3 linked regions of the Bombyx mori genome follow. The protein of the gene in region 1 purifies or fractionates together with the protein of each later gene. This does not show direct contact. Links are inferred from orthologs where the notes say so. Each region holds a gene or a part of one and is shown in the gene's direction. Other genes may lie near its edges.

Evidence for each region. The genes of interacting proteins can lie anywhere in the genome.
Region 2: the proteins of ubiquitin carboxyl-terminal hydrolase nonstop (region 1) and transcriptional adapter 2B purify together in Drosophila melanogaster (affinity purification with mass spectrometry; 3 studies listed by BioGRID, with this or other methods). This does not show direct contact. The link is inferred for Bombyx mori from reciprocal best matches to the Drosophila melanogaster genes not and Ada2b.
Region 3: the proteins of ubiquitin carboxyl-terminal hydrolase nonstop (region 1) and histone acetyltransferase KAT2A purify together in Drosophila melanogaster (affinity purification with western blotting, with the first as the bait; 3 studies listed by BioGRID). This does not show direct contact. The link is inferred for Bombyx mori from reciprocal best matches to the Drosophila melanogaster genes not and Gcn5.

The regions. Positions count from the first base shown.
Region 1 is NC_085123.1:10,250,363-10,254,397, forward strand, and holds the start of ubiquitin carboxyl-terminal hydrolase nonstop, read left to right. Parts: upstream 1-1,235; 5' UTR 1,236-2,418; coding exon 2,419-2,538; intron 2,539-3,255; coding exon 3,256-3,491; intron 3,492-3,766; coding exon 3,767-3,932; intron 3,933-4,035. UniProt on the Drosophila melanogaster protein: Histone deubiquitinating component of the transcription regulatory histone acetylation (HAT) complex SAGA. Catalyzes the deubiquitination of histone H2B, thereby acting as a coactivator in a large subset of genes.
Region 2 is NC_085131.1:6,658,781-6,662,819, reverse strand, and holds the start of transcriptional adapter 2B, read left to right. Parts: upstream 1-1,239; 5' UTR 1,240-1,345; coding exon 1,346-1,456; intron 1,457-1,551; coding exon 1,552-1,611; intron 1,612-1,688; coding exon 1,689-1,830; intron 1,831-2,567; exon of another isoform or gene 2,568-3,178; coding exon 3,179-3,396; exon of another isoform or gene 3,397-3,468; coding exon 3,469-3,541; exon of another isoform or gene 3,542-3,864; coding exon 3,865-4,018; exon of another isoform or gene 4,019-4,039. UniProt on the Drosophila melanogaster protein: Component of several Gcn5-containing histone acetyltransferase complexes that regulate nucleosome organization; involved in acetylation of histone H3, particularly on Lys-10 (H3K9ac) and Lys-15 (H3K14ac).
Region 3 is NC_085120.1:4,791,267-4,795,394, reverse strand, and holds the start of histone acetyltransferase KAT2A, read left to right. Parts: upstream 1-1,328; 5' UTR 1,329-1,516; coding exon 1,517-1,598; intron 1,599-2,691; coding exon 2,692-2,870; intron 2,871-3,594; coding exon 3,595-3,721; intron 3,722-4,098; coding exon 4,099-4,128.

The DNA.
Region 1 (4,035 bases):
ACAGAACTGTTTACCGCGTTAACGTAAGGTAATTGCGAGATAACAGGTGAAGCTAACTCAAGAACATGATTGATTAGATTAGCAAATTGTACCGACCTGTATTTCTAGCAGTAACTCTGTTTTCCTACGTCGTATATCAATCAAAGTCTTCTGCTGTTCAGCTGTCAGCTCTGAAAATAACGGTATGATGACCATATTAATCCATGGCACATAATAGTGGCCATTGAGGTCATTATAGTAGCAAAACATCTTCACGTCCACAAATTAAATTACCATGACACTCACCCGTATGAGTAAATGGATCAGTATGATTATTGGGACCATTGCTTCCACTAAGGGATAGATTTTCAAAATCACTTATCATTTCTCAAAATAATTTAAAAACAGTAAACAAAAGTTTACATCATTATTGAATGACTCGCGGCCATATTTATTTACAACATTTCAACAAATAGCTTGAAATATAGATTATACACTTATGCTTGAAACAGCACTTAAGTACCCAAAGAAATGTCTACTCTATCGAAAAGTTAGTCTCGCTTCCACAAGCGAACTAGAATATTTTAGTTTCACTTTTATAGCAATGGCCACCCTGTTCATGCTTAAAATATGATAATTTGGCCAGTTAAGCTGTCTTTGGGTTCCTTTATTATTCCTTTTATCTCGTAAAAAGCTGCTATGTGATTCACCATTTACATTAAACAAGCAGCGTTATCTAAGTATAAAACATTTGTATTTATTAGTGTTATATTATGACCATCCACCCAGCTTAAATCAAAGGAGCTATGCGTTCGGGTCTGAAGGGTTTACAGGCGTTGTTTAATACAATTAAAATATTGACCCCAAATCGCAAGATGAGAAATCCGCGTTATTAACACTCATAAATTCATCTACGCAATAAAGAAAATCTGTCAATCTTTTGCATGTGATGTACAGATTTCTTTTTTTGAGCTGAGTTGAACTCCCTATTGCATGTTAGAGCCATGGATTTTTTTTCCCTACCTAAGAGGCTATTCCAGCTACGCCCGAATGGTTGGAGCTCACGGGCTCAACCTGAGAGAATTTGCTAACAAGAGCCCTAGCAAGAGTAGTGCTTCGCAGAATCTACCAAAGGATTGGAATCGTGACCCACTGAGAAGATCCAGCCAGAAACTTATAGAGGATAGAACTCCATGGTTAGAACTCGAATATATTAAGTGTATAATCTATGGTTAGAACAAATGTAATTTCTCTATGGACTTTTTGGCGGGAACGCGAGGAGTGAAGTTGTGTGATTTGTTTTATTTTGTCTATTTAGTGTTTCTTCGGGTTTAAATGTGTAATAATGGTGGTTTATTAACCGTTTAATATCTGTGAAGGTGCACAAATGTGGGAAAATGAAACAAAGCCGCTGGACGTAACTTCTCGGGATCCTCCAAAAAGTCCACTGAAAAATCTTAGTAAATGACCACCATTTTACTGAGATTAGATTTCATCTCATATCATCTCATTTAATTTCATCCTAGTTGATTAATGTCACAAATTAATCATTTTCATTTCATTTCACTCCATAATATCATTTTTCATAAAATTAAGAATATAGAATAAAATAAGACATGACTTAAAGGTCTCAGTTACCAGGTCATAAAATCTCTTAAAAAAAAATAATTTCTCTATGTATGTATAGTCCGGTGCGTTGAATCGTTATAATCTACGCAGCACCTTACCGACACCCCGCGGACTTTTTGGTGGGAACGCGAGGAGTGAAGTTGTGTGATTTGTTTTATTTTGTTTATTTAGTGTTTCTTCAGGTTTAAATGTGTAATAATTGTGGTTTATTAACTGTTTAATATCTGTGAAAGTGCACAAATGTGGGAAAATTAAATAAAGCCGCTGGACGTAGCTTCTCGGGATCCTCCAAAAAGCCCCCTGAAAAAATCTCAGTAAATGACCACCATTTTACTGAGAGTACTGAGATTATGTTTCATCTCATATCATCTCATTTCATTTTATTTCATCCCAGCTGATTAATGTCTCAAATTAATCATCTTCATTTCATTTCACTCCATAATATCATTTTTCAAAAAAATAAGAATATAAATTAAAATAAGACATGACTTAAAGGTCTTAGTTACCAGGTCATAAAATCCCTTAAAAGAAAACACACACACACCCCGCGCCCCGTTCACAGCTTAGAGTCAAATAATTTCATTCAAGTCAGCTTCAGCAGCATAGATAATATACCTCCTGATATACCGATCAGCAGTCAGATTCGATTTCTTGGTTCAGAATTTTAAATTTTCATTTAATTGCTTGTTTTCAGTATTAGTGTTTTGTTATTTTTATTTTGGTTACCGACCGTCATTATCTTATTATGCTTTCATTCTAATTTCTGTCAGCGAGATATCTTTGTAACCGGTGAATTTACAAGCCAAAATAATGAATGACAATGGTTGCATACACCTAAATAATTTTAAGGCTGCTAAAGGCACTAACCCATATAAAATCGTACATGCATTTTTTGTTTCCTGTACGTCGTATGAAGCACGGAGATACAAGGTAAGATACTTCTTTTAAAAGAAAAGCTATATTTAAAAAAATGCGAAAGACCTGTACAAAAATGTTTCTGCGCTGCAAATTGTTCCAATAAAACTGTTTGATTTGTTTATGAAAAGTAAAGAAAAATGAGAAAAATAAGGATTGTTTTATTAAACTAGTATGAAATTATGTGAGATATTTTTGTGCTAAAATCTGTAATCAGCTGATTAGTGATCTTTGACCTCGAAACAGCTGTTTGCGTTTAGTCGCAATTACGATGCGCCGTTCAATCTTGAGCGTTGCACATTATTGATTTTACTTCAGCAACATTGATATTAACTACAAATATGATTTCTTTGTCATCCATTTATGTGTTTCAATGGTAAATTTAACTAAACAGCACAGAATTGTGTTCTGTTATTAGAAATTTACACATAAGGGGAGGAATTTATAAAACGCGTGGTCTTTATTCGTGATAGCTTAGCGTAGCTTTCATATAAATACTATAAAATACACACGACTCGTGATTAGCCCGGCGACGCTGACATGGTCTCTCTAGAGACTAGACCATCAGCTTAGGTAGTAAAAAAAAATAAAAAGATTAAAAAACGATTTGCTTTTTCAGAAGTTTCTATAATTACAATTCTTGTACTAATAACAATTTAAGTAACAATGCCATTTAAATTAAACTAATTGTTAGTAACAATTGCACACAACATTGAATGATTGATGTTTCAGGCAACATCCTGTCTCTGCTTTGCTTGTGGCCAGCCTGGACCTCGTATGCATTCATGTCTCCACTGTATCTACTTTGCATGCTATGCTGGTCATATTCAAGAACACTCCAAATCTAAGAAACACTTCCTGTATGTTGACCTTAGCTATGGAAATGTCTTCTGTGCTCAATGCCAAGACTACATTTATGATAGGGAGCTTACTGAGATCGCTGCAATACATAAGGCAAAGGAGGCTAAGTATGCATCTTTTATTAAACAAATATAATTTACCTAATTGTACAACAGCAAGGAATTTAGATTTTTAGATTTAGATTTTTATTTATTTCACCAAACATAATATACAACTACAAAAGAAATTGATCATTTTAATGATAAATAGATATATATATTGACAAAGATATATGTAAATCTTAAATTGTATTGTTTTTCAATCGAACTGTACCACATTCTGTACTAATACTATACGTTACTACCTCAACTGTGATTTGTAAAACGTTTACATTTTGGTGCAGGTCCCTTGGTATAAGCATACCTTTTATGCCATGGTTACCAAACCATAATGAAGCAATGGCTCTTCGTCGCCTACGTAAACGGCGCCTTATCAGTCCTCATACTACAATAGGTTTACGGGGCTTACAGAACCTAGGATCAACATGCTTCATGAACTGCATTGTTCAGGTAACTTATTTTAGATGGTTTAAAAGTGTAATCCATGAAATAAAATTATGTGTTATCTCTTTATTTATTATTTACCTAAGTAAATTAAAAGTTTATACAAGTA
Region 2 (4,039 bases), on another chromosome or scaffold:
TAACAATAAAGTTTAATTTTGTATTCATTTATGTATAGATTCTCTGTCTACGCTCAAGCAAGATTTGAGAAAACTTGAATTAAAAACATTTCGCTGTCATATACAACAGAATATAATCTGTAGTAAGTTTTTTTTTTGGGATTTCAGACCTGGTATTTACAACCTTTAGGTCAAATCTGTAGTAAGGTTTTGGAGCTACAGACTAGTTAGAAATTATTTTGGATTTACATGTTCCATTAAGTAGTAGTTTTCTTTTTACCACTTACAGCAACGCTCATAAGGAGCATGTTACTATCACAGATTAATATGCAGTATTATAAGAGAGCTGCTTTTAAACTAGAAATTAACGAATTTCATTGGAATTATCACTATTTGTAAGACTAGTAACAGTTTCCTGGTTCAAATTTAGCTTAGGTCTATATTTTACGTCTATGGTTGCCTGGTAAGTTCGACTATTAATTTGCAAATTATACTGTACATCGTGAATTTTAATATCACCGTCCTTTTCTATACTTGCGTTAGGAAGAGATATTGTAGTAAAAATACGTCTTATCAGACATTCGACAGGAATGATGCGTCTTAGCTTAACGTTAAAAATCTTTTTCACACAGTAATACGGTTTTCTAAATGAGAGCATTAAATTACAAACAAAACAGGATTTTGATTTTGTCGAACTGTCTGTAAACTGTAACTGTAAAAACTGTCTCACACTTCAAACTAGAATGCATGATGGTTTCATGGAAGAAATACACTAATATAAGCCTCTTGTCGATCGCAAGACCTATATTGGTTTATTATTTCTGTGCATCGTTCATTGTTCAGTTTTCTTAGTTGTATTTTGTGACAACAACGGGAAGCGATAGGGTAGTTTTTTTTTCTACCTAAGCCGATAGCCTTGAGAGGCTATGTCAGTCAAACCTAACAAGTAGGTGAGCTCACGGGGCTCAAACCTGACGATTTTGCTAACACTAACCCTAGCAAGAGCAGTGCTTCGCAGAATCTACTACCGGATCGGAAACGCGACCCACTGTGAAGATCCGGCGAGAAACTCGGTGAACTGTGTCTGTGGGTTAATTTTCTCGCCGATGACCGGATAGGGTAGTGTTACTCCAATCTTGCGCTACCAAATTAATTTTCAAATACATAGTAGATTCAAATCTATTCAACATGTTAGAATGCGTAGTTAAGTTTTAGGAAATAAAATATTTTACAAAATATGTTTTATTACTCTGGTAACTCAAAATGTTTGGGAATAAAAAACGTAAAATGGCTTTGGAAATTTGTGCGCTAATCTGAAGCCTGCCAACGTACAAGTTTAAAGTTTGTTTTCACTGTAATAAAAATCATGTCATTTTCAGATCTTTACGCTAAATATAATTGTACATATTGTCAAGAGGAAATAAACGGCGTAAGAGTTAAATGTACTGAATGTGTTGATTTTGATATTTGTTTGCAGGTAAAGTAGTTGATACTGCCATTTTTGTTGATAGTTTTGGCGCAAAATTTAAAATTGTCACTTAGAAATTAATATGCAATAAAATGCATTTTCAGTGTTTTTCTCTTGGTGCTGAAATCGGACAGCACAAAAACGATCATTCATATCAGTTTGTGGTAAGCACTTTATAAACGACTACTGTAATACTATTACAGAAAGTAAATAGATTTTCAAGAGTGTTCTATTTTTCCAGGACTCTGGGGCTTTTGGAATATTTTTAGGACGTAGTAGCTGGTCAGCTAACGAAGAAGTAAGATTATTAGATGCCATAGAACAATTCGGCTTTGGTAACTGGGAGGATATAGCAAAACATATTGAAACAAGAACTCCTGAAGGTAATTTAATGATATAAGCTACTCAGTAATCTGCTGTCTTAGCACTGTGCTTCGGTTCATTTTTCAACATTGGCATCAAACAGCATACATTGCATGCCTTGGCAAAGAATACCTAGTATATGCATACTATTATTTGTAACTTTTTATCTAAATGCAATAACAATTTTCAAAAATAGCTTCTGCAACGAAAAAACATTGTTGAATAAAATATGGTGAATATTTCGAATTTCAATTTTTTTTAAAGCTTCAGCTTTTATATTTGGGTAGACGTGCTTACCGTCTACCTGTTGTTGTTAGGTGGTTACGGGATTCAAGAGATTTCAACTACGTAAATGTTACTAGCCACCTTTAGGCATGATTACTAAGTCTCAGTTTTATAATATCGAGGGGTGAAATGCTATTTGGTATAACGTACATTACCTTAGTAATTAAAGGTATACTTGGTATCAACAGTTCGATGTTTTTAGTTGAATTTCAATTTACGTTTACTCCATTCAAATAGCTGAAGACGTTTTTTGGTTATGATATTTTTTCCAATTTTTAAGCTTTGAATGGCCTTCCTGTAAAGTTGTCAAAAATGTCATTTAAACCGAATAGCCTTTTACTCCCTTGATATAGTAACTTTGCATATTTAATGGTGACAGCATGGTCACAACCATTCAATAATGTATATAAACTCACCACATGCAATGTTAAGACAGGATTTTTTCATGGGCTATGGAAGCTCAAAATATATATTAAACAAGAATAAGAAATATATATTAAACATTTACATTAAATAAATTTTGTTGGGATTAAATTTACATGATGCATATCCTTTATTTTCACAAGTAAAAAAGAATAATTTGGAAATAAATCATCCCATAAGTTCAAATCAACGATTTAACACCAGTACTAAAAATAATAAATAGGGTGAGAAGTAATTATTTAAATCTGTTGAGAATACTTCTAAAAATTGACACCGCAAAAGGACTGACCATGTCAATCTCAGATTCTTTAAGACCTCTGCACTCTTCTAAACTCCTTCCTAAACCTGTAACAGCGATGGAAGCATTGTAAACAAATATACTGAACTGCGACTATAGGTAGAGCAAAGGAGGTTCTGCTTCACATGGTGGCAGTGGTACAGTAGTGCTGAACTTTAGAAAGATTACCAAAGAATTATCATACTATATATAAATTTATTAATTAAATATAATAATAAAAATAAATAATAATCATAATCATCGTTCTTTCCTATTACCCTCTGCTGGGGTGTAGGGCTCGAATCAAATCCTTTCATTTACATCATTGTTATAAGAAAGACAAATAAATAATAATAACAAATAAACATAAATTTCAATTACAGAAGCAAAAGATGAATACATTACTAGGTACCTGGAAGGCACCATAGGCAAAGCAACATGGGGCAATATTGAAAGTACATCTCGCCCATCACTACATTGTGCAGATAAAGATGATGGCCCACTTGGTCCAACTGCAGTGTCTCGACTACCAAACCTAGCTATAACAGTAGACGAAGCAGCACAACTTGGGTATATGCCAAATAGAGATGATTTTGAAAGAGTAAGAATGAATTTTTTGTACTATTTACTATAATAAATTAAAATATTGTTCTACAAAGTGTCGAAATTTCAGGAACATGATCATGAGGCAGAGCAGTTGATCTCAACATTATCATTAAATCCAGAAGATGATGAATTAGATGTTGGTAGGTTATATATAGATATATATTCAATAGATAAGTGGTTTTTGGTTGATAAAATATGTGGTTTTTAATATAATAATATCCTTTTAAAAAAATCATAATAATGACTGATAGACTGCCGACCTTGAGCTTGAAATTTACATATGAATTATTCACTCTGAGACGTCTCTTATTTGATACATATTATGAACAGGCTAGACTAAAAGCTTTATAAGATCTGTATATCTATTTTATGATTTTAAAACGTCTCATAGCTTAGTTAAATACATATAAGATATATATAATAAATAAAAAATGACATATCCCGTTTTTTTTATTTTTTATAGCACTAAAGCTATCACAAGTTGATATATACATCAGAAGACTGAGAGAGAGAACGAGACGAAAAAGATTAGTTAGAGATTTCCAGTTAGTGTCTGTCTTCTTCAACAATCAGAGGAATAAACAGAAGACCCTAGGAAAACTTGCCAAAGAAAAAAAGTATGTACCAATAATATTTTT
Region 3 (4,128 bases), on another chromosome or scaffold:
GAGTCGTCGATGCAATAACGACTTCTTCCTACACGCCCACACGAGTAGTAGATAGCCGTGTCATCGGCGAAGAGTGCCAGATGGGTCTTCGGAGACCGGGGTATATCATTGATATACAAATTAAACAGTAACGGGGAGAGGGCGGAGCCTTGCGGGACTCCGGCTGTAGGCTGTAACGTGACGGGGGCGAGAGTGCGTTCCCTCGACCCGATATCGGAACGAACGGTTCGACAAGTAGTCTCGTATGATGAGCCATACCACCATTAATCACTTATTCCTTAGTAACAAAATTTGTTAGAATAATTGGTAATTACATGCCTGCTTTGAACAACAACATATGTTCATTCGGGGTTGTCCGATTGCGCTGAACTAATTTTAAGTGATGAAATAGATGTTTTTTCTAATTCTCTCATAGCTTACAGGAAAAATTTGTCGCAGATCATTTTCCAACTAAATATAAATTGATCATAAGTAATTGAATGTAATCAAGTTTTATATATAATATTCGCATATTAGAGTCGCATTATGCTCTGTAATTGGAAAACTAATACAGGTAGTTTTCCAGTTACAGAGCATAATGCGACTCAGTGACGCACAATGCCGAATTATGCTGAAGCTTATTTATGCATTGTGCCGCTTAATGCGCTCTTGTGCTGTTATTGGAAAACTACCAGAGACGGTTCTCCTTTTTTTTTAAGAGATTTTATGACCTGGTAACTGAGACCTTTAAGTCATGTCTTATTTTAATGTATATTCTTAATTTTATGAAAAATGATATTATGGAGTGAAATGAAATAAAAATGATTAATTTCAGACTTTAATCAACTGGGATGAAATTAAATAAGATGATATGAGATGAAATCTAATATCAGTAAAATGGTGGTCATTTACTAAGATTTTTTCAGTGGACTTTTTGGAGGATCCCGAGAAGTTACGTCCAGCGGCTTTGTTTCATTTTCCCACATTTGTGCACTTTCACAGATATTAAACGGTTAATAAACCACCATTATTACACATTTAAACCCGAAGAAACACTAAATAGACAAAAAAAATAAAAAAAATCACACAACTTCACTCCTCGCGTTCCCGCCAAAAAGTCCAGACGGTTCTCCTTACCTCTACCCTCCATAGATTATAGCAAAAAGGAGACAAGTGTATTATCTATGAAGATATATCATATAAGACCTGGCTTCGGCTTTTTTGAAAATTTATTTCAGAGAATATATAGAGCAGACAAGGCTGTATGGGCTTAGATTCCCTTGCCTTTCCTAACAAGGAAAAATGGTACCAAAAAAAAAATATCTATGAAGGAGACAATACTTGTCATTTGAATCTGAAATCTGTGTTAACGTCAACTGTCTAATTCTGATAAAAAGTTTGACTGCTGTTGTTTGCGCCTTATTTCATGTTATCAGTGTAACTATTTCCAAAATGCAGTGAATACATAAATGAGAGCGTTGACTTCTTATTTACGGGAAGAATTACTGCGACAAAAATTTGTTTGTGATTGTATATTATGTCTCAAGCGACTGACGAAATAGCTGACATAGCAATGACAAGCACAGAGCCAGACTCCTCACAAAATCATACACATGAAGGTAAATAAACAAAATCACGCTTCTTCAACTATAATTAATAATTTTGTATAGAAATCACCAGAATAATGACCTTAACATCTTATCGGCTTTTTTAATATATGTAGTTGAAAATGAAAACACCACGTGAACCAAGTTAATTGTAACTGTAAATTTAAATGTATGTGTGTAAATTTAGCTATTGAGCTAAATTTTAACAAAATCGAAATTCAACTGTGTTTTGTATGTGGTAATTTCTCCCGCTATTCTATAGATAGTTGTAAGCCATTAGTACTTGTAATTTCTCTATTACATACACATATAAAAGAATCTTATATAGTGATAGTCTGATCAGCTATTTTTCAGAAAGGCTGGAAACCGTACTTTCTTGAGCTACTACTACATAACCAGGTCTATCTATATTCTCATAAACTTTCTTATCTCAGACTACCCTCATTACAATATTCACCGCTATAAACCAGGTGTGGTGTAGCTTTATATAAGTATGGCGACTAATAGGCCATGTATTGAAAAGCATATTTTAAGTGATGGCCCAACTTGCAATTACTACATAGAAGAATTAGCAGATATTCACCATGTACATGGCGGGACAGATAAATCCATTCCTCATAATTATTCTTGTCATTATATATAAAAATATTATATAGAAACAAAATGACCAAAGGCTGCTATTCCCAAACATGGATATGAAACTGTGTAAGCAATAAGTTTGAAAATGAACATTAGAGGTTTAATAATCATTAGAGGCTTACAACAACAACAACATTAGAGGTTTAATAATCATTAAGGTGCTGGCGAATATTTGTTCAAGTAATAAAATAAAAAGTGCTATCAGTAAAAATTACCACTACATTCTTGTTTGTATCTGTCAAAGCAATTATGAAGGCTTTACTAGGTAAAATAGTCATTTTGGAATGTAATCTGATTGATCTGATATTTGAAGGTGAACAGTAACTTGCACAGTGTGCTTTGTATAGCCACAGGAGATCTCAACACCAAGAAAAACAAACTTCTCCTTTAATTCCAAATAAATTTATTATAATTTGCTACTAAACTACCGCAATAACTCAGCGTTCATTTACAAACTTTCCTCTAGCTACATCAAGCTTAAGTGCAGATGATGCATCATCAAGCAATGCCGGGACTCCTGCAGGCAGTGAAGGACAGGCTTCCCGGCAGTCTAACCTACAAAGGATACAACAAAGAAAACAACAAGTTTTCAACTGGCCCCATAATAAAAAACTACTCAAACTAGCTATATATTCAGCCTGTCAGGTATTGTAAATGAAAATGTTACTAATGCACTGAATGTAATGATGTCCTATCATGACTTTTAAGCGATAAGGAATTAAAAACCATGAAAACATTATTTAATAAAACGAAGTAACTCCTCTTGATCTCAACTTAACATTATACCCATAACTTAAAAGCAAATAGCAATGAATGATGAAAATGATTTTGAAAAACATAATGTTAAGTGTACTGTATAACAATATAAGTATCTAATTTCTAGATTTCATATCCTTTCGCAAATTCTAATTATTCTGCCTTCTGTGAAATAATAAAATGAAAAGAAACATTAAAAAATATGTTATAATTGAGTCGACTATTATCAAAGCCGGCAATCTGACTTTTGGACAATAATTGGTAAATCAGAAAAACGAATTATTGACTTTGTATTCCATTGGCAGTCACAAAACTCTTCGGAACGACATCTTAGATAAATAACAGGTTAACTATTAACCTTTATTTAATGCAGGTTTTAAACCGTATTCTTTGAAGGAGACGATTATATTCAAATGAATCTGTATTGACATATCAATAACATTTTTTTGTCCAAATGCACAGATTGCCGCCTTTGATAATAGACGACTCAATTCAAATATTTTCTATTTAGATGTTAGTAGTACCATTAACCATCAAACATTATAAGTTTATGGACTTATTCAAATTTGACTGACAATATATCATTAGCTATCAGTTTTAATATTTGTGGTAGACACCAGATTGTAACTGCAATGGATGGAAGACTCCAGTAACACAGCATGCGGGCAAGACTCCTCGGGCTGATAATCAGCCCCTTGCCAGCTTCAATGACGTGTGTAGAAACTGCAACCATGTATTAGGTATGAATGAGGAATCTAGTTTATAAATGCCTTTAATTTCTAGAGGGTTAGGTTGAAACTTGTCTTAAAAACAATTTGTAGTAAAATGATTTAAGAGTTTTATTCAATAGCACGTCGTTTAATTATTTTCAATTTATTGAATAAGTGCTGTTCTGATTTACAATATGTCTTATGAATAGTAAAGAACTACTCTAACATACCGAAAACAACTACGAAACACTATTTACTAAACTAAGCATAAAAATTTCTCATTCAAGAAAATTCATGTTTCATTCATTTACAGAATGTGCTATCATTATTAATGAATGGAATATGGTAGGTTAGGAGGTTAGGTAGGATAGGATTTTCAAAGATATATTTTGTGTATCTGCTTCCAGAGAAACATGTAAGTCAGCTACAAGGTTTGC